Linked DNA regions of Yarrowia lipolytica. The protein of the gene in region 2 interacts with the protein of the main gene of each other region in a pairwise test. Links are inferred from orthologs where the notes say so. Each region holds a gene or a part of one and is shown on either strand. Other genes may lie near its edges. The genes, in order: YALI1_B15692g, YALI1_D24941g, YALI1_F08757g and YALI1_E08828g.

The links.
Region 1: the proteins of YALI1_D24941g (region 2) and YALI1_B15692g interact in binary tests that used the Saccharomyces cerevisiae proteins (3 or more experiments, as listed by UniProt). The link is inferred for Yarrowia lipolytica from reciprocal best matches to the Saccharomyces cerevisiae genes LOC1 and BRX1.
Region 3: the proteins of YALI1_D24941g (region 2) and YALI1_F08757g interact in binary tests that used the Saccharomyces cerevisiae proteins (3 or more experiments, as listed by UniProt). The link is inferred for Yarrowia lipolytica from reciprocal best matches to the Saccharomyces cerevisiae genes LOC1 and NOP12.
Region 4: the proteins of YALI1_D24941g (region 2) and YALI1_E08828g interact in binary tests that used the Saccharomyces cerevisiae proteins (3 or more experiments, as listed by UniProt). The link is inferred for Yarrowia lipolytica from reciprocal best matches to the Saccharomyces cerevisiae genes LOC1 and RRP12.

Annotation. Positions count from the first base shown.
Region 1 is NC_090771.1:1,567,097-1,571,310, reverse strand, and holds YALI1_B15692g (ribosome biogenesis protein BRX1), read right to left. Parts: upstream 2,055-4,214; coding exon 1,194-2,054; downstream 1-1,193. Other genes in the region: YALI1_B15706g (uncharacterized protein), read right to left, coding at 1-652; YALI1_B15703g (uncharacterized protein), read left to right, coding at 829-910, 953-1,185; YALI1_B15670g (uncharacterized protein), read right to left, coding at 3,189-4,214. UniProt on the Saccharomyces cerevisiae protein: Required for biogenesis of the 60S ribosomal subunit.
Region 2 is NC_090773.1:2,491,735-2,495,934, reverse strand, and holds YALI1_D24941g (uncharacterized protein), read right to left. Parts: upstream 1,853-4,200; coding exon 1,262-1,852; downstream 1-1,261. Other genes in the region: YALI1_D24918g (uncharacterized protein), read right to left, coding at 2,056-4,131. UniProt on the Saccharomyces cerevisiae protein: Required for efficient assembly and nuclear export of the 60S ribosomal subunit. Involved in asymmetric localization of ASH1 mRNA.
Region 3 is NC_090775.1:873,285-878,501, reverse strand, and holds YALI1_F08757g (uncharacterized protein), read right to left. Parts: upstream 2,796-5,217; coding exon 1,266-2,795; downstream 1-1,265. Other genes in the region: YALI1_F08784g (uncharacterized protein), read right to left, coding at 1-30; YALI1_F08745g (uncharacterized protein), read left to right, coding at 3,953-5,217.
Region 4 is NC_090774.1:877,923-885,070, reverse strand, and holds YALI1_E08828g (uncharacterized protein), read left to right. Parts: upstream 1-2,200; coding exon 2,201-5,752; downstream 5,753-7,148. Other genes in the region: YALI1_E08782g (uncharacterized protein), read left to right, coding at 6,844-7,148. UniProt on the Saccharomyces cerevisiae protein: In association with GSP1, required for nuclear export of both pre-40S and pre-60S ribosomal subunits. Required for the late maturation of the 18S and 5.8S rRNA of the pre-40S ribosomes and for maturation of the 25S and 5.8S rRNA of the pre-60S ribosomes.

The DNA.
Region 1 (4,214 bases), on a different chromosome or scaffold from region 2:
TTTCAGGAGAGATCTTTGCGACAGCAATTTTCTCTTTAGAAACAGTTTTAGAGATAGCGGTTGTGGCAGCTGGCTTCTCACAAGGACCGTTACCTATAGATGATGACAGTGTATGCGATGTAGCAGCGTCAGTAGCAACATCAACTGGAGGTGCAAATACATCAACAGTAGAAGGCACTTCACCGGAGGACACTTCTGACATCGAGTTTACAGATACCCCTTCTGTGACCCGACTCACGACATCTTCCAACCCCTCATCCCCTCCACTACCCAACTCAATCACACCCTTTTCCTTCTTCACCTCCACAGATTGTCTTACACTCCCTAGCTCAGTGAGGGCAGCCTTGAGACCCGTAATCCTAGCCATCAGACCCTCAAACTCATCTTCGAATTTCTTCTCTTCCTCCTTGATCTGTTCATTCAATCGCTTGTCTAAGTCTTCGAAGTCCTTCAATTTGGCTTGAAGACCGTCAAGGAGGCTGTGAGCACTCTTGATCTCATTAACAACTTCGTTCTTCTCGTCTCTAAGAGGTTTCAATCGTATGTCGAGCTCTCTCCTCTGGGTCGACAGCTGCTGTTTGTGTTCTTCCAGCTCTTTTTCGAGAAACCCGAGAGCAATGTTTCGTGTTGACGTGACAGGTCGAGTGGCCATTCGATTGTCTCAATGATGTATCTGTTGTATCTAGGTTGTATATGTGAGTCTGGTCGTATTGGCGGACGTTTATATATTAAATGGTGGCACGGCCTAAGTGCCTCTGCTTTATTTACAGTGTGCCTTTTGTGTCTTTATCTTACGCTTGTTCGACGGTTAGTTACGCACACATGTCGATGTATCGTAAACACGACTTCTCAAGTGACATGTATGGATGTACTGTAGTGAGGATATACGATGCAGCAACATCAATTGTGAGTCTTCATATCTGACGAGTCTTCCCTGTATCTACCATTCTAGCTGTAACACTCCACAGAACAATACAGCCATTCCCAGTACCAGTAACAAGCCATATAGCCAAAGCTGCTACAAGTAAGAGTTGGTACTCCTCTACTGTCTATCAATCAAATTCATCATATCTATTAATGTACCTTTTCCTAGTCGGTCCGTACAGCCAGTCGACTCTATTATCAGTATCCTTCGCTCGAGCTATGCTGCTGCTCTCTAATACCCGCTCAATCTTGCACTTCTAGCCATTGGCTTACTTGAAAATCACAGAGTCAGCGAGAGGGTCAGCAGCAATAACAGCATCTCTGACCTTGACCTTTCGCTTGAAGGCAGCCTCGGCTCGGCTGGCGGCCTGCTCAGCGGCCTGCTGCTTCATCTGCGATCGGACAGTGTTAGGGGACACATACTGCTTGTTCTCGAAAATTACGGGGCCTCCAAAAGAGCCCTCAAGCATGGTGATGAGAGTCATGACAAATCGGGGACCAATCTCAACCAGAGAAATGTCGGTCTCTCGGGGGTTTTCTTCGTTGACAGTCTCCTGGATCTGGTAGTTTCGGAACCAGACCTTGTTGTCCACCAGCGAAAAGGTGAAGACGTGGTCGAAGAAGGGCTTGGACTTTCTGGCACCCTTGGGGACACCAAAGGTCTGCGTCAGCATCTCCTTGATCACGGCATTGTGAGGGGTGTCGTCAAAGCTGCTGTCGAAGGACAGAATAGGTCGAGATCCTCGCAGACAGTTGCCGGTGAAGTTGAGCTCGTCCATGGTATGCAGGTTCTGGATGTGGAACTTGGCGGTGGGACCGTTGGGAGCCTTGGCCATCCACATGTACAGATCCATATGCTTTCGGGCCTCAAAGTACAGAATGTTGTTGCAGTTGTACATCTCAGCAATCTCGTTGAGTTGGTACAACTTGGACTTGGTGTCGAGCTTGGACTCCTTTCGACCATGGGGAAGCATGGTCTGGAGATCGCTGATGAGATGTCTTTGTCGGAAGGTCACTCCTCGAGAAGTGATGATCAGCACTCGCTGCTTGTTGGTCACTCCATCGTCCTTCTTCTCGGTCTTCTCGGGCTTAGAGCTCTCGCCGCTCAAGGTCTTGTATAGTGTCGACATTGTGTGTGTAGTGTGTGTGTTGTGTGTGTGATGCTATACTGATTGGGATTTTATTTTCACGATTCATGCAGAAATATTTTTTAGGGTTAAACTCAAAATCCTTGAAGTGTGTCTTGAAACTTGGTGATGAATCCTTCATTTTGGTACAAGGGTAGATTTTGAATATATGCAAGAAAAAGACTTCTATTCTTTTGTAAGCTGGTCTTTCATTGGCTATACTTCAATTATTCAACTTTAGCGCTCATTTTGCCACCTGGAGGTGTGCAATTGTGCTGAATTTGAAAGCACAGCAGTCAGCATGTATGTTAGCTACAGTTATCAAAAGAACTGAACATTTACTCTACAAGTACAAGTTCAAGTATTTGTAACTACAAATTTTGATTAAAATCATGAGATGATTCAGCAACAAGCATCCCTGGTCAATTGCACAAACGAAGCGCTCTTTTCATCCATCATACCCAATGTCTGCGCAGCGTGCTCGCTCAAATTTCAAGACTCATATCGAGTCTAGTCGGAACACCAGAGTTGGGTTGGGGACGATGTATGTCCAGGTACCCTGCTCATACAAGTACAGTATATCCTAGGTGCAAAAAAAGAAGGTATTTGTCTTATATACCGGTACTAGCACATGTGAATCTATGTTTAGTCTCAAGTATATTCATTAACATGCCCTCAATCGTTTCTGTTTACTTTCAGATACTCCTTTGGTGCCTATGGTTCCACAGAATCCACAATGATACTGTAGAAGGGGACTACGTGAAGTAGAATAAAACCAGCTTTTCTGGAAACTTGTCTGTTCTATCACCTGTTGGTCATGTCAGTTTCCGCGTTCTTCACACCCACCCCCCTAATAATACAACACAATAAAATCATTGAAACAAGAGCGATGCGACCCTCAGTCCAGCAAACCACTCTGGAAATATTGAGAAACAAAAGACCTACAGTAATACAATTGTGGCATCTATAGAATAGGAAATTTAATATGTGCAACTGTCCATTCTCTCGACCTGTACTTCTACACGATTGTCAAAAGATATTATCATAGTCTACAGTAATTTATACAGATTGAAAGAGGGTCATTCAAATATGGAAGCTGGTGGTCAAAGATCATCCCCAGTCACTCTCTTCTACCTTCTAAAAGATGGTGGAACCGTTGGCAAGACCTCCGTAGAGCCAAGTACCTTCAAACTTGCGCCCTCTCTCCAGATCTCGACGTCCAATATTGAGAGTGCATAAAGAGATCCAGTCAAAGTAGGCCAGGTGGTTCTTGACAATGTCTAACCGAGCAAGAGCGTTAAAGTCCTTTCTGTAACAGCTCATACTCTCGGGACCGGCACAAGAGAAGACCTTGTTCAGAGGAGGCTGGACAGTGAAGTAATCAATGTAGATTTCTCCCACAGAGTGGACATAGTCCTTGAAAGCGGGGAATCCTACAAACAGATCGTTCCAGTGAGTCAGTCGGAAGTAACGTCTATCAGAATCCATGCTGAGACCATCTCCTTCGCCAAACCACTGCTTGGAGACAAAATTGGCAAAGTTGGCGTTTCCAATACGAGGCTGACCATAGGTGTAAAGATAGGGATCCTGACCGTTCACCTTGAGACTTGTAGCAGAAAGTACCGCAATAGCAGCACCCAGAGAATGACCAGTAACAACCAATCGATAGTCAGGGTTGCTGTTAACGTGATCAGCCAGCTTGTCTCCAATAATGCCCATGGTCTCATTGTAAGCCTTGTTCCAGCCGTCGTGAATAGTGCATCCCTCGCAGAGGTTTGCAGTCGATCCTAGGGCAGAAGGAGTGACGAGAAAGGGGCTTTGGGACAGTTGGATGTCGGTGTAGACGTCTCCGATGTCGTAGGTTCCTCGGTAAACCACATACTTCTCTTTCTTGACATGGTCAATAGAAAGAAATCCGGTGATGGAGGTTTCGAAAAACTCACCTCCAAACACTTCGACCAGCTCCATGTTAGGAAAGTGAGAGCATGCTACTCCGCAAGAGAAGTCAGATTTCAAAGACTCCAATGGAGTATTGATACAGTAGGCAACATTGGAGAGGTGGGAGAAAGTCAGGGCAGTGTCGTAAAAGTCCTGAGAGATGGGGGCAGTGGCTGTAAGGGGAGAAGGAGCAACGGTTCCAAAAAGAACTCTGGAGAACCATTC
Region 2 (4,200 bases):
AAGAAGGATTCTTGACGTCCAGATGAAATTCATACTGCTCTATTTGGCTTTCTTCATGATCGTCTTATGAAATGCCATCATGGAGACTCTACAACATATACTTTGCCCCTGTGTTTAAATAACGGAGGTTGAGACGGTTATTTTGTGGCTTCTCTTTCAGATCAATGGTTTATCAACTTGGTACAACTACTCTACCCATATGGTACCCGTATGTACTAAAGGCACCTGTCTCGACATTTGCAACGGCCTAAAAGTAGAGGATTGAACACCGGGAGTTGTATTAGTCGGGGTGGAAGGTTGAAGTCTGAAGTGTGCAATATGTCGTCGTCTCCAGTTCAAACTGTGCCCATATATTCCCTCTAGTGATAGTCTGTAAGAATCAAATGTGTGTAGCCTGAATAATCTTGTAGGGTTATGAAGACTGATGTAGGAACAGAAGAATAACTACAGGAGAAATAGTTACAGCTACTTGTAGTATCATGAACAAACCTATCAGGAACGAACCTCCCCTGAACAACCTCCCTGTTTATGGCTTTTATGGCTTTTTATTTGGTCCTGACCATTCTACATATAAGCACGAGGAATATTTACATCACACTCCCTGTTACGACAAGACGTTGATATCGCATAGCAAGTGAGGAAGAGAAGCCCAGTGAAGTAAACTGCTGTATCTGAATGTGATAACGTCGTCTCGAAAAGTGACTGCAGTATGTACTTGTAGCTCAGAATTTTTATATATACAAGTACAAACTGTAGCAAGTGTATACTTGTGTAAGCTGAGAACACCTGGTTAAACAGTTGTTGCCAATAGTATATACAGCCTTAGGAAGTATTGATGTATTGATGTAAAAAAAAATAGAGTACAAGTACAAGTACTCCCACTTGTACTTGTACTTGTACAGTTGATTCATATATACTACAGATATCCCATCCAACAACTCGTTGATTACTCTATATACCCGTTCCACCTTCAAGATCAAATTGTTGTTCATATGTATGATTGATTAGATATAGTCAATGGAACGCCTTACAGCCCACTTCTGAGAACACCACGTCCGAGAGTAGCACAAACCAGAAGGGTGTGGGCTTGCTCATTCGTCAGAAAGAGATTCTGACAGACATCTCGTCAATTACCGTCAATTACCTTCAAACTTCAAAAGATGCTGTACCTCTTGAAATACTCCCGGAATCACAACTACCGTCCTCGTCTCCCCTCATCCCTCCAGATAAACAAATGCATATAGTATATACCTCCCGATAATTAAGCAAAGCTGACGCTCTTCTTCTTGGAATTTCCCTTGCCCTCCTCCTTCTTCTTGAGCTCCTCCATCTTCTTCTGCACTTTGTCAGCACTCTTGCCTCGGCTGGTCTTTTTGATTTCCTTCTTCTTCTGCTCGATCTCGGCCTCCTTCTCAGCCTCTCGCTTCTCAATCTCCTTTCGCTTCTGCTCTCGGATCATCTCCAGCTGACGGGCCTTTTCCAGCTTACTGGCGTTTCGAGAGTCAATCTTCTCGTTGACAATGCTAACTAACAGGTTCATTTGGTCGTTATCCACAAACTTCTTGCCCTTCTTGCCTCTCAGTGCCTTCTTGGCTCCCTCGGGATCGATGGCCGTGTTCAATTTGGGGATTCCCAGTTCCTTTTCTGTGTACACTCGGGCCTTCTTGACCTTGGGCTTGCCGTTGTCTTTGGGCTTGGCCACCCGGTTCTTGAACTTGCGGGGCTGCTCGTTGGCGTTGTCGTAGTTTTTCGAGGTGTGTGCGAGCTGGTTTCGAGCCTTTTTGTCGCCGAAAACCTCACTCTTGACCTCTCGCGCGCCGGCGTTCTCCTTTCGAAATCGTTTGGGGACCATGGCGTGTGTATGAGATGTATAGGTCTGGTGCTCTGGTCGAGAATCGAAATCTACGGCTCGTGCATGCACAATTTTTTTAAGGTTGGAATAATTTTATGAAGATAATGTATGTGGCGTGAAGAGTTTGTGTGTTCAATTCCGATAGATGCGATTAAAGAAATTTACTTTGTAATTATGTCAATTGGTAAACCAAGACCAATCTGCTAGTCTAGATACCAAGCGTAGACGGTATGGCAACCGCCCTCGATCCCCTTGACATACGCCCATCCTTCGTCCATCTCGAGATTCAACAGATTCACATTGACACCATTGACAGTCATCTTCAGCTGCTTACCGAGAATGAGAGGGACACAAATTTCGCCAATAGTCCCTGGAGTAGACTTTACTGCAATCTGGAGCAGGTTCTTCGAGTCCCGCTTCCACCCTCCAACGAGATACCCTGTCTTGGCCGAAGTAAACCCAGTAATGCAGAAATCCAAATCAGCCAGAGTAGGCTGAAGAGTCCAGGTCACGTGGTTGGGGTTGGTGAAGCGCAGTCCACAGATTTTGTAGCTGAGAAAGCTCGTGGGACCTGTAGACCAGGGGTGGCTGTGGCTGATGTAGCTGCTGTCATGCTTATCGGACGGATAAGAGCAGGTTCCGTCCTTATAGAAGCCCTCCACAAGACTGGATTTGACACTCCAGGGCGCAGACAGAGCGTAAGACCAGGTCTGGCGAATAAGAGCTAGTGCTCTAAGGGTTCTTCCAGCTTGGTGATGAGCCATAACCTCAATACCACTGATAAATGTGCTGATCATGCCGTTACTCTCAGGGTTGATAGGTCCAAATTGGTTCCAACGAGCAAAGAGCCTCTCAGAAACAGTCTTTGACCGTTCACCATCACACACCCCATAGTAAATTACCAGGCAGTTGCCATCTTGGGGGTAGAGTGTTGACGAGAGGTTATCTTTGAAGAGACCTTTCTCTGCGTCCCAGAGCAGCTCGTTGATACGCACGTGCAGACTCTCAGCGGTATTGATCCAGATAGCTAGTTGAGCTTCAGGCTCTCCCAAGAGGTTGCCAATCTCGACCGAGCACACTAAGCAGGCATAAAGAAGCACGTTCAAAGAAAGAGAATGACCCTGAAGTACAGACCGGCCCCAATCAAGACCACAAACAATCTTGGCCAGTCCGTAGTCAGAGTCGATCCAGCTCATACCCAGTTCCACTCCCTTTTTGAACGGAACCCATAATTCTCGCACTCGCTGGAAATCTCCACTGTGTTGCCACAGCTCATACAAGCCCAGTAACCCCCACAAGTGGAAGGTATCGGAGCCGTAAAGATCAGCAGGCTTGCAAGCGTAAGGAAGACGTCCATCAGGCTGTTGGCCCGCAAAAATCCAATCAATTGCAGTTGCGGTGGCAGCCGAATTGACACCTCCGAAAGCACAGTGGTAAACTGAAGTGCTAATGAGCCGATCACCAGACCAGACGCTACGGTCTCGCTTTGCACCGTCAGTAAGCACCTCCAGGCCCTGACTTACATGACCAGAATTGTCCCATCCACGAGATTTGACGACGTAGTCACTCTTGCGACCCTGGACTGACGATATGGTCGCAAGCTGGATAGTGTAAGCTCCAGCGTACCAAATTTTGTTCAGCAGAGGATCACTGGAGTGGAAAAACCCAGAGTATTTGTTGAGGGAGGCAGAAGAAGGCATCTGGGTCATTTTGCAAGACACAGATGTCACATGTGCAATGCAGTCACGGGTTTTGCTCGCTACAAACACTGTCAGGTATCTAAATGCTCCTCTCAGCTTCTCCACAGGCATTGTGTATTCGGAGATGCCTGGGTATACCTCGACAGTCACGTGGCCATCGGTGACCTTGAAGTCGACAGATTTGTCCGAGTTTCTGCCAACGAAATCGCTTGATTCGGAGAAGGCGAGTCCCAGAATTGTCTTTGAGCTTCTGGGTCCAAATTTGAGAGTGACGACGCCACAAATGTTTTGGCCGAAATCAAACGTGATGAGACTATCAGCGGAGGTAAAGAGACAGGAGCCAAGATTGGTGTCACGAGAGGAATTGTTTTTGGGACTGTGGAACGTGTGGAAGCTCTGGGGGGAGGGTTGATCGCGCGGTTGGCAGAGGGAAGGTGCTCCTGCTACAGTTCCCTCTGTTTTGTGGATTCTCACTGGGAAGGCTGTTCGGGTAGCTGGGGAGATGTTGTTTTGTTGCCAAGGTTGGTCCGAGGGTGTTGCTTGGAACACGAGCTCGGAGAAGGTCTTTGCTTTGTACATTGTCCTGGAGTCCGAGTGAATCAAGTGTCAATTGGATAGAAAAGGACCCTTAGGAGCGAGTAGTGTCGA
Region 3 (5,217 bases), on a different chromosome or scaffold from region 2:
TTGGGCTTGTTTGGAGGGAGAGGAGCCCATGATATGAAGAGGAAGAAAAAGAAGAAGGGCAAACTATTTGGTGGTCGCCAAAGTCGGACCCTACGCTATATATAAACAACAGACGCGAGACCTTTGTGGTTACACGGCACTCTTTTTTTAGGTTGCAAAGGGTGGGGATTGCGTTATCGGTGCAAGTCGTGTGATATGGAAGGGGAGAAGAGAAGGGTCGTGATGAGGCCGTTTAGTCCCATTTTGGGGGCCAAATAAAAGCGGAGTTGTATTTCACAGCCCCAAAAGACCCCCCAATCTCTTCTAAAATTGCTCTCACATTCATTGAACCCCTTTTTTTTCAGACTGATTGATCCTCACACTTCGCACTGTGGCTGTGTGGATGCACGCGGTTATCTTACAGCGTGCTATTTTTAAGCACGGACTCCGAACTCCGGAAATTACAAACTCCTCCTGAGGTGGGTCCCGGATGGAGCGGATGAGCTGCGGGAACCCGGCGTTGTCACGTGACACGGGAATGATATAGCGCGGGTGTGTCACGTGATGAGCCTCGCCCCAAGAACTTATACTTGTATTTGTACTTGTACCCAGTCAATGGTTCTTTCTGGTCTCATTGTGATGGTCTTGTTCGCCACCAAAATCTTACCCACAAGATCTACAGTTCGACTACCAGTACAAGTACAGCATGGACATACCGTTATTCAGTTACATCGGATATACGGAAGGGGTATATGGCACGTGATTTCGTGGAGGGTGGCAGGCGGTGGAAGTCATGTGATTTATGGTATCTCTTGAGGCGTATACGATGAAAGTACTGTACTTGTATGAACCATGGATATGGGTGGCTTTCATGCTGATTTTTCCAGTAACAATAATGTCCTTGTAGTTGATAATTTACTTGACAATTACTTGATAATCTCAACGTTCCAGGTAGTGGTTAATTCGAGGGAGAGATAAAGTAGGACTCTGAAACAGGAAAGAAACCTTTCTAATCTTGAACATGGACCTGCCCGTACTCGGACGACTCTTCATCTCCCGTTATTGCGTCCTCTAGCATCCAAGCTGAGATTCATGGTGTTGTTGGAAGAGATGACCATTATGATGAGAATTACATGGTGATTCTATTACAAACTCCCCCATCACCACATCTGTAAACCCCACACTCTTATATAACTCTTCAACTGCTACCCTACTGCCACCCTACTCCCCAATACAATACAATAATCTAATGCCTATTTATTTTCACCTATACAACCTCTACCCAATTAGTTCTTCTTGGAACCCTTCTTGGAGCCATCCCTCTCCTTCTTGGGGCCATCCTTCTTGGCGTCTCCGTCCTTTTTGACACCTCCATCCTGCTTGAACTTCTGGGATCGGGTTGTAAGACGCTTCTTCTTGCCGCCAGCTCCGGGAGCGCCGTTGGTGGGGGTTCCAAACATGGCCTTTCGCTTCTCGGCTCTGGACTGGCCAGGCTTCTCGACTCGGTTCTTGTTGGGCTTGACTCCTCGTCGCTTGCTTCGGGCCAGGTTGACCTTGCCGTCCTCTTTCTTAGCCCGCAGACCCTCCTGTACAATGGACTGTAGCTGAGCCTTGCCGGCCTTGCCTAGCCGCGACTGGGCCCGGCCAAAGTGCGACTTTTCGTCTCGGGACAGGCCTTCGGTCTTTGCGTTTCGAATGTTCTTCATGTCGGCCTGCTTGGCCCGTTCCTGGGAGTGTTGGCTCTTGGCCCGCGACACACGCAGCTTGCGCTTGTTAGTGGTGGACTTGGAGAGCTCGTTGATGCCCTTACCGTTGAGCAGCAGAGCCTGCTCAACCGAGTTGACGTCCTTGAACTGCACGTATGCAAACCCCTTGCCAACGTTGGTCTTGGGGTCCCGCACAATTCGCACGTACTCCACATCACCGCAAGACGAAAAGGCCTCCCAAAGGGATTCCTCCTGCTCCTCAAAGTCCAGAGCTCCCACAAACACGCACCGCTTGTGATCCTGGGCGCCGGGATGGGCCACGGAGTCGACTCGCATGTGGAAGCCCTTGAAAACCGAGCCGTTGAGCGTCAGAGCGCCCTTGACGGACTTGACGTTCTTGAACACAATGTAAGCGTTGACCGTGTCTCGCTTGGAGTGGAACTGCTGGGAAATGAAAGCCACCTTTCGAGGAAGCAGCTTGGAGAAGGAGATGGACCGGAACCGCACAGACGCCACGGTTCCAATGGCCGCAAACAGAGCCTTGAAGTTGTTGTACACGGTCTTGTCGGTGATCACCTCGGACGACACGTTGCCGACAAAAATGGTGTAGTCGGCCTTGTCCAGCTCCTTGTTGGTGGCCTCCAGCTTCTTCTTGGTCTCTTCGTCCACGTCCAGCTCGGGTTCGTCCTCAGAATCGGATTCGGGCTCATCGACTTTGATTTCCTCCGCGGAGGTCTCTGCGACCATGGGCTTCTCCTCGGCCACCTCCTCGGCCAACTTGGCCATGTACTGATCCTCCAAGTCGGCCGACTCCTCCTTGGACTTTTTGTTCTTCTTGCTCTTCTTGATAACAGGCTCTTCGATCTCCTCTTCGTCGTCGTCGTCGTCGTCGTCCTCCTCCTTCTCCTCCTCATCCTCCTCATCCTCCTCATCCTCCTCTTCGTCCTCTTCGTCCTCCTCTTCATCCTCCTCTTCATCCTCTACTTCCATCTTATCCTCTTGCTGGTCACGCACCGGGTCGACCTTGCCAGCGCGCTGAGGCTTCTGACGAGGACCACTGGAGTTGGCAAAGAGCGCGGCGAGTCCGGAGTTGTCTTTTGTGGTGGTCATTGTCGCTGGATGGTCAAATGATTGAGCTCACTTGTTCTGTTCAAACTCTTGCCAAAAAAAATTCAAACTTTGCATGAGACATGTACACCATATAAAGGTTGTGTGGGAGGCGTCCAGTGTAATAGTACAACTAGCCCTCTCTCGATTTACGGCTAGAATAAAAGAGAGCCGGTCGCCAGTTTGGCCAAGGGACCCAGGCGTCTCAGTTGTATCCCCACTATATTCGTTAGCAAGGCTCAAGGAGGTCATAATCTGACACAAATAGCAATACTCATAACCTATGCATCTCCTCCTCTAAACACGATCCAACCCAAGCCATCAATCATCAACCTCCGGTGCCAGCTTTCGACAACCTCAGCCTTGACGCGTTTCTTAACCACAGTCCTGACTCACTTCTCCACCACCCTCTGACACGCGCCGCTGTCCCGTCAACCAATGAGTGGCTCTGCATACATACGACGGCAGTGGGGGCACGGCTGCCAGGGGGGGCTGAGGGGCGATTATATGAAGATTGGCTGGACGGAACGGCGCCAAATTTCGACACCGACGAGCGACGGTCGATTGGAGTCCATGGTGGCTTTCCGGCGATCATCTGACGTCGATTATCCCCTGGGATGTGGTGGGAGGCATGGTTGGGTATGATCGTGTGTGTAAATGGGAGCAAGGTAGGGCGTGGATTTGGCGGGGGATGATGGTTGTATTTTAAGGGGAGAAAAAAAGAAGGAAAAAAAGGGAAAAAAAAAGAAGACGATTGCAGGGACTCCATACGGTGGTGATGAGAGGGGAGGAGACGACAAAAAGCCGGTCAATCGAGTTGTCAGAACCACCAGACAGCCCTTCTGGGAACCTGGTTGGCCCAGCATGTGCACTATTCGCCCTCTGTCGACTCTCTCTCCCATAACGTGCTCCTCTCCGCACGTCTTGTATGCGCACCAAACTTAGCTGGGTTTGGTGCATGGTGGAAAAGACTTGCGTTGTTATCAACAGTAAAAAACATAGTCGGCAGCTCCACTACACTACTCTCTCTCTTCTCACTCACTCACTACCACACGACACCCGAGCGACGACGGTGACCGAGAAAAGAACGACAGGTCACGTGTTAGCTCTCTACAAGACCCGGAAGCGAGCACGCCGCTAACCCGACACCGACCCAATTGATGACCGCCAACGACGACGACATGGTCACGTCTCCGCTATCCGAGCTCGACTCCGAGGCCATGCTGGACCTGCAGCAGCACGATGAGGACGAAGCCAAGGAGCTGAAGGATGACGTGGCAGAGGACCACGACACAGGCACAAACGGAGACACACACACACCAACTGACAAGAAGACCCGTTCTTCTCCGTCTCCATCGACAGGAGCAACCGCAACCTCGGCCACGGCTACGGCCACAGCCCCACCTACAGCTACAGACACACAATCGGCGGGCGACAAGGGCTCCGTGACGCATCCCGAGCACGCCGACTCGGGTATTGCCACGGTCGCGAGCATTGTCTCCACAGACGACATGCCGCTGCCCACGTCCAACGGCAGAAAAGCAAGTCTGCTCAACCCCGCGGACCTCAGCGACGACTCGTCCGAGCTCTCGGAACTCGAGGACTCCGAGGCCGAAACCGAACGGCTCTATCTCAACGATCTGGTCGACGAAGAGGAAGAGTCGTTCAAGCGCCGGCGCGAATCGTCGTCGGAAGACCACATCCGGCAGATGAAGCGTGAACGCGATGAGGAGGATGACAGAGATATTAAGCGGGCCAAAGTTAATGGTCAAACCGACGAAAATGATGACATTGGAGAAGAAGACACAACGGCCCGAATGGATGTGGATACCACAGCCAAGGCAGAAGGAGAAGGTGGAGATGTGGGTCCTGACACCGGGCTCATCACTGCCAGTGCCATTGCCTCGGCTCTCGAGGAAGTACCGCCTCCCTTGCCCGTGCCTGTTGAGGACATCAAGCCTGAGGTGAATCATATCTCTGAGAAGGAAGGAGAGGCTGTGGATGAGTCTAAGGAGGCCGAGGCCAAGGAGGGGCTCAAGGAATCAGAAACGGCTGATGTCGACAATAAGGACGCCAACGAAACCAAGGATATGCCTACGCCCATCAACCAGACTGAGCCCTCCGACAATGAACACGAGGAAGATAAAGAGGAGGAGGTGACCAAGGAGGACAAGGACAAGGAGGAGAATGAAGACGAAGACGAAGACGAAGACGAAGACGAAGACGAGGAAAAGGAGGTGGAAGACGAGGGCGACGAGGAAGGCGAAGGCGACGACAATGACAAGGAAGACTCTCCCGCAGACGCAGACAAGGTCGACATGCGGCCTGCGGCCATGACGTCTCTCGCCGAGATCGAGGTCGATTTCGCCAAGCTCCGCGACTTTATGTTCAAGGAGAAGCTGGCGGCGTTTGAGGTGGAAATGGG
Region 4 (7,148 bases), on a different chromosome or scaffold from region 2:
GACTAATGTGTGATCCAACATTCTATTGTGATACCGCATATATCACCACCGTAGACACCTAGCATTTGCTGCTAAAGCTCTGAGATTACCAGGTCTAGCGAGAGCTTAGTTGCACGTGGAAAATTTAATGATGAACGCTCTTCGCGTGATCGTCTCAAATACTGCCATCCCAGGCACGGTGCATGGATGATGCGAGATTAGGTTCGCGAGAAGTTTAGTTTTGCTGACACGTTTAAACAAAGGGCCAACAAGTGTTTACTTAGAATTATAACTAATTAACAAACAAGCCATTGGCTTAAGTATTATTTAACATTCATTTGCTGAGGGATGTTCAATGAAGAACAGCGAGAACAAGAGAAGCTCCAAGCGACAGCTCAGAAGAGACAGACCAGGGGCTTCGTTAACGAGAGCTGAGACATTAACATCCTCAACAGACAAGTACGTTGGGTAAAGAAACATAAGGCCATTGGTACTGTGCCGTCCTTGGAAATGGTAGACAAGATTCCAGAGTCCTTGAGGCAAGAAAAGCCACCACCGAAGGACTCTGAGTCTGTTTCAAAGTTTGAAAACCAGTCATGTCAAACTACCAGGAGCCTTCAGCAGCCTTGGGTTCAACCTCCAATCTGAGGGATACAGTCGTGAGCGCCAGAGATTGGACTATGAAAATGTGGAGCATCAAGCAGAAAATGCACTCGTGTGCTAAAGAGAAGAAGAAGCATCCACACTCACATTCTCTGACACAAAGTGATACATACATTCGTTCTGGAGAGAGAGTGAGGGTGTGGAAGCTTCCTGAAAAGGATAGGCATGTAGAATACAGCAGTGCCTGTGCACATTTTGCGGGCTGTAAGAATTCTCTCAGAGCAACTGACATCCATGGAGATACCCTTGTGCGGATTCTTGTACAACAGTGCGTGTAGGGATCCTGACTAACCCGGAGAGTGCCAATATGTGCTTGAAGGACATTAAAAGCGTGCGTACGATGTTGCTCATGTCCTCATTACTGTAGAGGTGTATGTTACTCGGGGTTTCCTTATGGGGTTATTCAGAAGTGGAACTTGGACTCTGGCACTTGTTTGTCAGTGCTGGAAGGCTGTAAGCGCATGGTTAATCTGCTGTGTCACGACGAATCCCTGGGTTCGGCATCAATTCATTTCAAAACTGGTGTTTAGAATCCAGGAATCTGGAGAGCTTGTCTACATCAGAGTCCATGGAATATCGTGCATTAGATAACATTAGATTAGTTCCCGTGGAAGAAGTATTCAGTGGTCCTCCGCAGAGGAACTGTCTCGGTCAATTTGGGCAAGGAAGTAGTTTCTCAGCCACTTGTTGTAGTGTCCAACGTCAACGCGGAATATGATAGGCTGTTTGTCGGTATCATAACGAGTCTGATTTATTTAATCGACTGTTACTCAACTATAGGGTTGAATTGAAGATCATGGGTGTTGATGAATTGAAAATGACTTCATGAGAACATGAGCACAGGAGCGTCTGAATGAACAGAAGAGGTCGGACTCCTCAGCACAAGATACAACACAGCACGCACCTGGAGGGACACAGCATATGGTCTCCTTTAATGGATTGACCCCAACACTGTTACACTGGACTTGTCGAAAGAACATTGCTTAACCACATCTCGTGTCTTGCCACTATTTTTCGAAATCGTGTACAGTGAACTTCTTATTTGGTGGCTCTGTGCGTGGGTATGAAGAGATTGTATATAAATATATCAACATTTAATTTGTATAATATAATTTTGTATAATATAATTTTATTATAATATATTGTATAATATTTGCAGTATATTCGATAATATTGGACTGTAATTGTGACTTGTACAGAGGCATGTCCCCTTACAGCAGAAGTTCACCCCCAACACTCCCATTGCAGTGTCAATCTAGAATTTGACATTTTCTATTTCTTTTTTAAAAAAAGGAATAGCCGAGAATCGAAGTGAGTGACACCGCAACCATAATGCCACAGTGGAGACACGATATTGGAATGCCAACAAGTTAAGACTACTACAAATGTAATATACACCAGAATACCATCTCGTATTACCCCAGAAATCTCCCCAAACAGCCCACACCACTATCCACCTCTTCTCCCACCAACCTGATAAACTCGCAGTGCATCAACTCTAATATTTTTTTCAAGTCTTCTGCAAAGTGACAATTGCAGTTGCACGCACCATCTACAAATGTCCGAACTCGACCATACGGAACCGCTGGAGGACAAGCTGGACCGGATCCGCGTCCATGTCAACTCCAAGCTGGCCAACCAGAAACAGTTGGCCATTATTTTGGGAGCCGTGGAGGAGAATCTCGAGGAGGAAAAGACCGAGAAGACCGCCACCTCCTACTTCATTTCTTTCCTTGCTCTGCTAGAGCAATCGTTCAGCCGCCAGGCCCCCGATCAGCTCGAGAATACCGATCTAGCCGCCTCGGCTCTCTATTTCCTCGACCTTGTGTCTCCCTTCGCCAGCGAATCTCTTCTGCGGGCCAAGTTTTCGCAGATTTTCGTCAAGCTCGCACCCGTGTTGGGCTCGTCCGATTCCGAGTCTGCGCTACTCAGATCCGCCATTGGCACTCTGCAGCATCTGCTGCTGGCCCAGGATGCTGCCTCGTGGCAGACCCCTGCTTCTGAGCTGTCTCCCCGACGAGGAGTGGTTGGTCTGATGCATCTGGCCGTCAATCCCCGTCCCAAGATCAGAAAGCGAGCTCTGGACGCACTTGCCAAGATCCTCGAGACCCGAGTATCTCCAGTGCTCGTCGAGCATCCTGCTGCCGCAACCTGTGCCGACACAGCCCTGAAGGCCGTCAAGCAGTACCTGGAGAACCACAAGAAGGAGGATACCGTGGATGCCGGCTTCATGCATGCGCTGGCTCTGGTGAAAACCATCTGTGGCGTTGGAATGTGGCCTATGTCGCAGTTTGACGAACTCTGTCAGCTGCTGCTGTCTATTTCCAAGACTACCAACCAGATGCTGATCCAGGCTACCTTTGGCATCTTTGAGGGTGTCTTTCGTCACTTTGCCAAGTCTGAAGAGGACGAGAACAACAAGACACGAAAATTGCTGGTTATTCTCGATGCTGTGATCGACCAGGCTCCCGCCACCAACGACCAGCATCTTGCTCCTGCCTGGTTTGCTGTTGTTGCCCAGGGAGTGGGTGCTCTTGGAGAGGTCAACCCTGATAAGGGACTGGCCAAGACCCCCGTGGTTTTCCAGAAGGTATGTGCCTATCTCGACTCTGAGGCCGACAGTGTGCGAACCTCTGCTTCCCAGTGTCTCGTTGCTCTGTGTTCTTCCATCAACCAAAAGTCGCTTCAGAACGGCGACAAGTGGCTGTCCAAGCTCGCGGAGATGGCCACGATGCTTCTGTCCGTCCAGACCCGGGCTTCTCTCGTCGACTCTACGAACGTTGTGGCAGCTCTACTCGACACTCTCAGATGGAAGTCCGACCCCTTCCTTGTGGAGGCTGTGACAATTATTGGAGGTCTCCGAACTGAGGAGTCCTTCGTTAACGGCATTCCTGCTCTCGACAACGCTCTTGGGTCCGCTATTCGTGCCATGGGACCTGCCAAAGTGCTAGAACTGCTCCCCCTCAACCTTTCAAACCCCTCTTCTGACAACCCCGGACGAGCCTGGATGCTCCCTCTACTGAGAGACAACATTCACAATTCAGAGATTGCCTTTTTTAAGAGCGAGTTCTTGCCACTGATCGAGTATTTTGACGACAAGATCTCGACTACCAAGGGCGCCACCGCAAAGGTCTTCGAGGCTCTGCTGGCCCAGGTCTGGTCCGTTCTGCCCCGTTTCTGCGCTCTGCCCATGGATCTCCAGCAGTCGTTTGACCAGTCTTTTGCCGAGCTGCTCTCCAACAAGCTCTATTCCAACATTGAGATCCGACCTGTTATCTGCCAGTCGCTGCGTCTGCTTGTCGAGAGCAATGTGGTGTACGCCGAGGAGCCCGAGGCTGCTGAGTCCGAGGATGTGAACGACGACCTGCTGCTTCTGGAGCGATTCCCCCGATCCGAGGCCGAGTCTAACGTTGCCTACCTCGGAACCGTGTCTTCCAAGATTCTTGCGGTGCTCTTCAACGTGTACGGACAAACTATTCCCGAGTCTCGAGGCTTCATTCTCGAGTGCATCAACGCCTACCTCGGCATCACCCCCGCCGGCGAAATTGGCGACATCTTCGATAACGTGTGTGGAATGCTTCACAAGGCTCTGGAGGATGAGGCCAAGGAGTCTAAGCCTGAGAAGGACGCCCTGCCAGCAATGTCGCTCACCATGCTTGACATTCTCATCGCCCTCGTGCCTTACATCCCTGCCTCTTCTCACAACACTCTGCTGACCGTCTTTGTGCAGATGATCCAGAACTCCGACCCCAACCACCAAAAGAAGGGCTACCGTCTTTTGACCCGTCTGGCCGAGGCCGACAACAGCTTCGAGACTCTGGAGAAGCATCTTGACAACATCTGTGGTGTTGTTCTCGAGTCTGCTGAGTCTGTCACTGCTGTGTCTCGAGGCGCTCGAGTGGCCGCTCTGGCGAAGCTGGTGGCTCTGCTGCCCGAGAACGATCTGTATTTCATCCCCGCTACCGTCTCTGAAGCCGTCATTGCCACCAAGGACGTCAACGAGAAGACCCGAACGTCCGCTTACAACTTACTGGTTCTCATGGGCGAAAAGATGGCTCGAGGAGGAGTAATTGACAACACTCGAATCCCCGGTCTCGAGGATGCCGGTCTGGGATCCGTCAACGCCAACCTGACTGAGTTCTTCAAGGCCGTGTCTGCTGGTCTGGCAGGAACCTCACCCAACCTGGTGTCTGCCACCATCACGGGTCTGTCCCGAATCTTGTTCGAGTTCAAGGACGACGTGCCCATGGATATGCTCAGCGAGCTGTCTCAAACCGTTGAGCTGTTCCTGACCTCGCAGAACAGAGAGATCGTCAAGTCGACTCTTGGTTTCGTCAAGATTACGGCCATCTCTCTCCCCATCGATCTCGTGGAGCCCCAGCTCAGCGAGCTTCTCCCAAAGCTGCTGCACTGGTCCCACGAACATAAGGGCCATTTCAAGGCCAAGGTCAAGCACATTGTCGAGCGTCTGATCCGACGGTTCGGCTTCGACACCATTGAAAAGCATTTCCCCGAGGCCGACAAGAAGCTGCTGACCAACATCCGAAAGTCTAAGGAGCGATCCAAGCGAAAGCGAACCGAGGAGAAGGAGGAAGATGCTCCCATGTCGTCTACCAAGCCCAAGAAGGAGTTTGCCTCTGAGTACGAGCGAGCTCTGTACGGAGACTCGGATTCTGAAGACGAGGATGACTATGAGGAGGAGGAGACCACCAAGCGGGCCTCCAAGTACATTATGAAGTCCGACGACCCTCTGGATCTGCTGTCGCAGCAGGCTCTGGCTCACATCACTTCTTCCAAGCCTAGAGGAAAGAAGGAGCCTCTTCTCAAATCGTCCAAGTTCAAGACTAATGAGTCCGGTAAGATGATCTTTAAGGAGGATGAGGAGGAGGACGTGATTCCCCAGGGCTCGGCCATCGACCATTACGTTGAGGCCATCAAGAACGGACCTGTGCGAGGACAGAAGAACAAGTACAAGTATAAGAAGTCAAAGGGAGGAGATGACGACGGAGGAGATGATGACGACGTGGTGCCCAAGCGACCCACCAAAAAGTTTTCTCGAGGTGGCGTGAGCAAACCCAAGGGCAAACCTCAGCAGCGACGAAAGTTTTAATTGAATTGTATTATTGAATGGTTATGAATATATACGGAGATGGTGTACAATATGTAGTGTAGAAGGACTGGGAACTTGACGTAGACATGGTCTGGAAACTTACTGAGAAGCTGATTCCTACACCTGTCGGGGGAGATATTCGTAAAGCCTCGAGGCATACAAAAGTATCGGTACTGTACAGTACATCAAATACCAGTAGTGTGCACACAGAACTTATCGATCCGTTTGCACAGGCACTGCAAGAAGTCGATTTTTTTTTTATTCTAATGATTCGTGTGTATCGTTATTGAGTCTTTGCGACATCGGGGAGTTGAAGTTTGGAGTAGGGGTATGGTTGTTATGTTTTTGAGGTTTTTTTTTTTTTTAGTTTAGTTTTTTTTTTTTTTTTTCTAATGATTTCTTCGTTTTTTCAGAAGTTTTGAAACTACACAGAACCACCCACCTACATCTCAATAAAAAACTTGGGCGTCTGGTGTAAGGACCAAAGTCGCTTATAAGGGCTTGGGGACGGTGCCGGGTCACGTCAAGGGTGACTGTTTTCCCCCCTGGGACGCACCCGGGGGGGAGTATATAAGAAGACATTTATGTATGATTAAAAAAGTGATCACCACCTGTGAACGTATACAGACAGCGAGCAACGGTTAGATTAAGACAGCGGACAATCTACCGACTGAGAATATTCCGCAGATAAGAGACGATCGGAATCTTATATCTGGTGTAGTTGGTTATCACATGCGCTTTAGCATGGCGCGAGGTCCCCGGTTCGATTCCGGTGTCGTCCACTCCTTTTGTGATCACAATGATCTGGTATTTTTTTTTCTACCTACCCATGGCTGTATCAAGTCCTCATATTGGCAAGTCACCACAGATCATATTTTTTTATATCGTAGATAAGGTTGCATATCAATCCCAGTTATCTCAACCTTATTTGTTCCCTCCACTTTACCAATACTTACCGCGACTATTGCAGAGCAACAAACAATCTGCTCCTTCGATTAGCATCTTCATTGTCTTGCACAAACGAACCTACTCTCTTCTACTGCGTCATTACACTACCCTCATCGAATTTTCCACCACCTTCCCCACAGATCATGATCAGGAAGATTGTAGTATTCCTGGTGTGTGGAGCTCTTCTCATTTTAAAGAGCTACATATATGCCTATCATAGGTTCCCTAAACATGACACACTCTCTGTGAAGGAACACGGTGGTACTAACAGCTACAGCCCTGTCATGGAATTGCACAGGAGCCTGGTTGATATCCCTTCCGTGTCATACAATGAGACTCACGTGTCTCGTTTTCTGCAGCTTTATCTCTCAACCAGAGGTTACACTATCGACTTGATTGGAGATCATACCCGTCAGAACGTCTATGCTTATAAGGGAGCCCGAGAGGA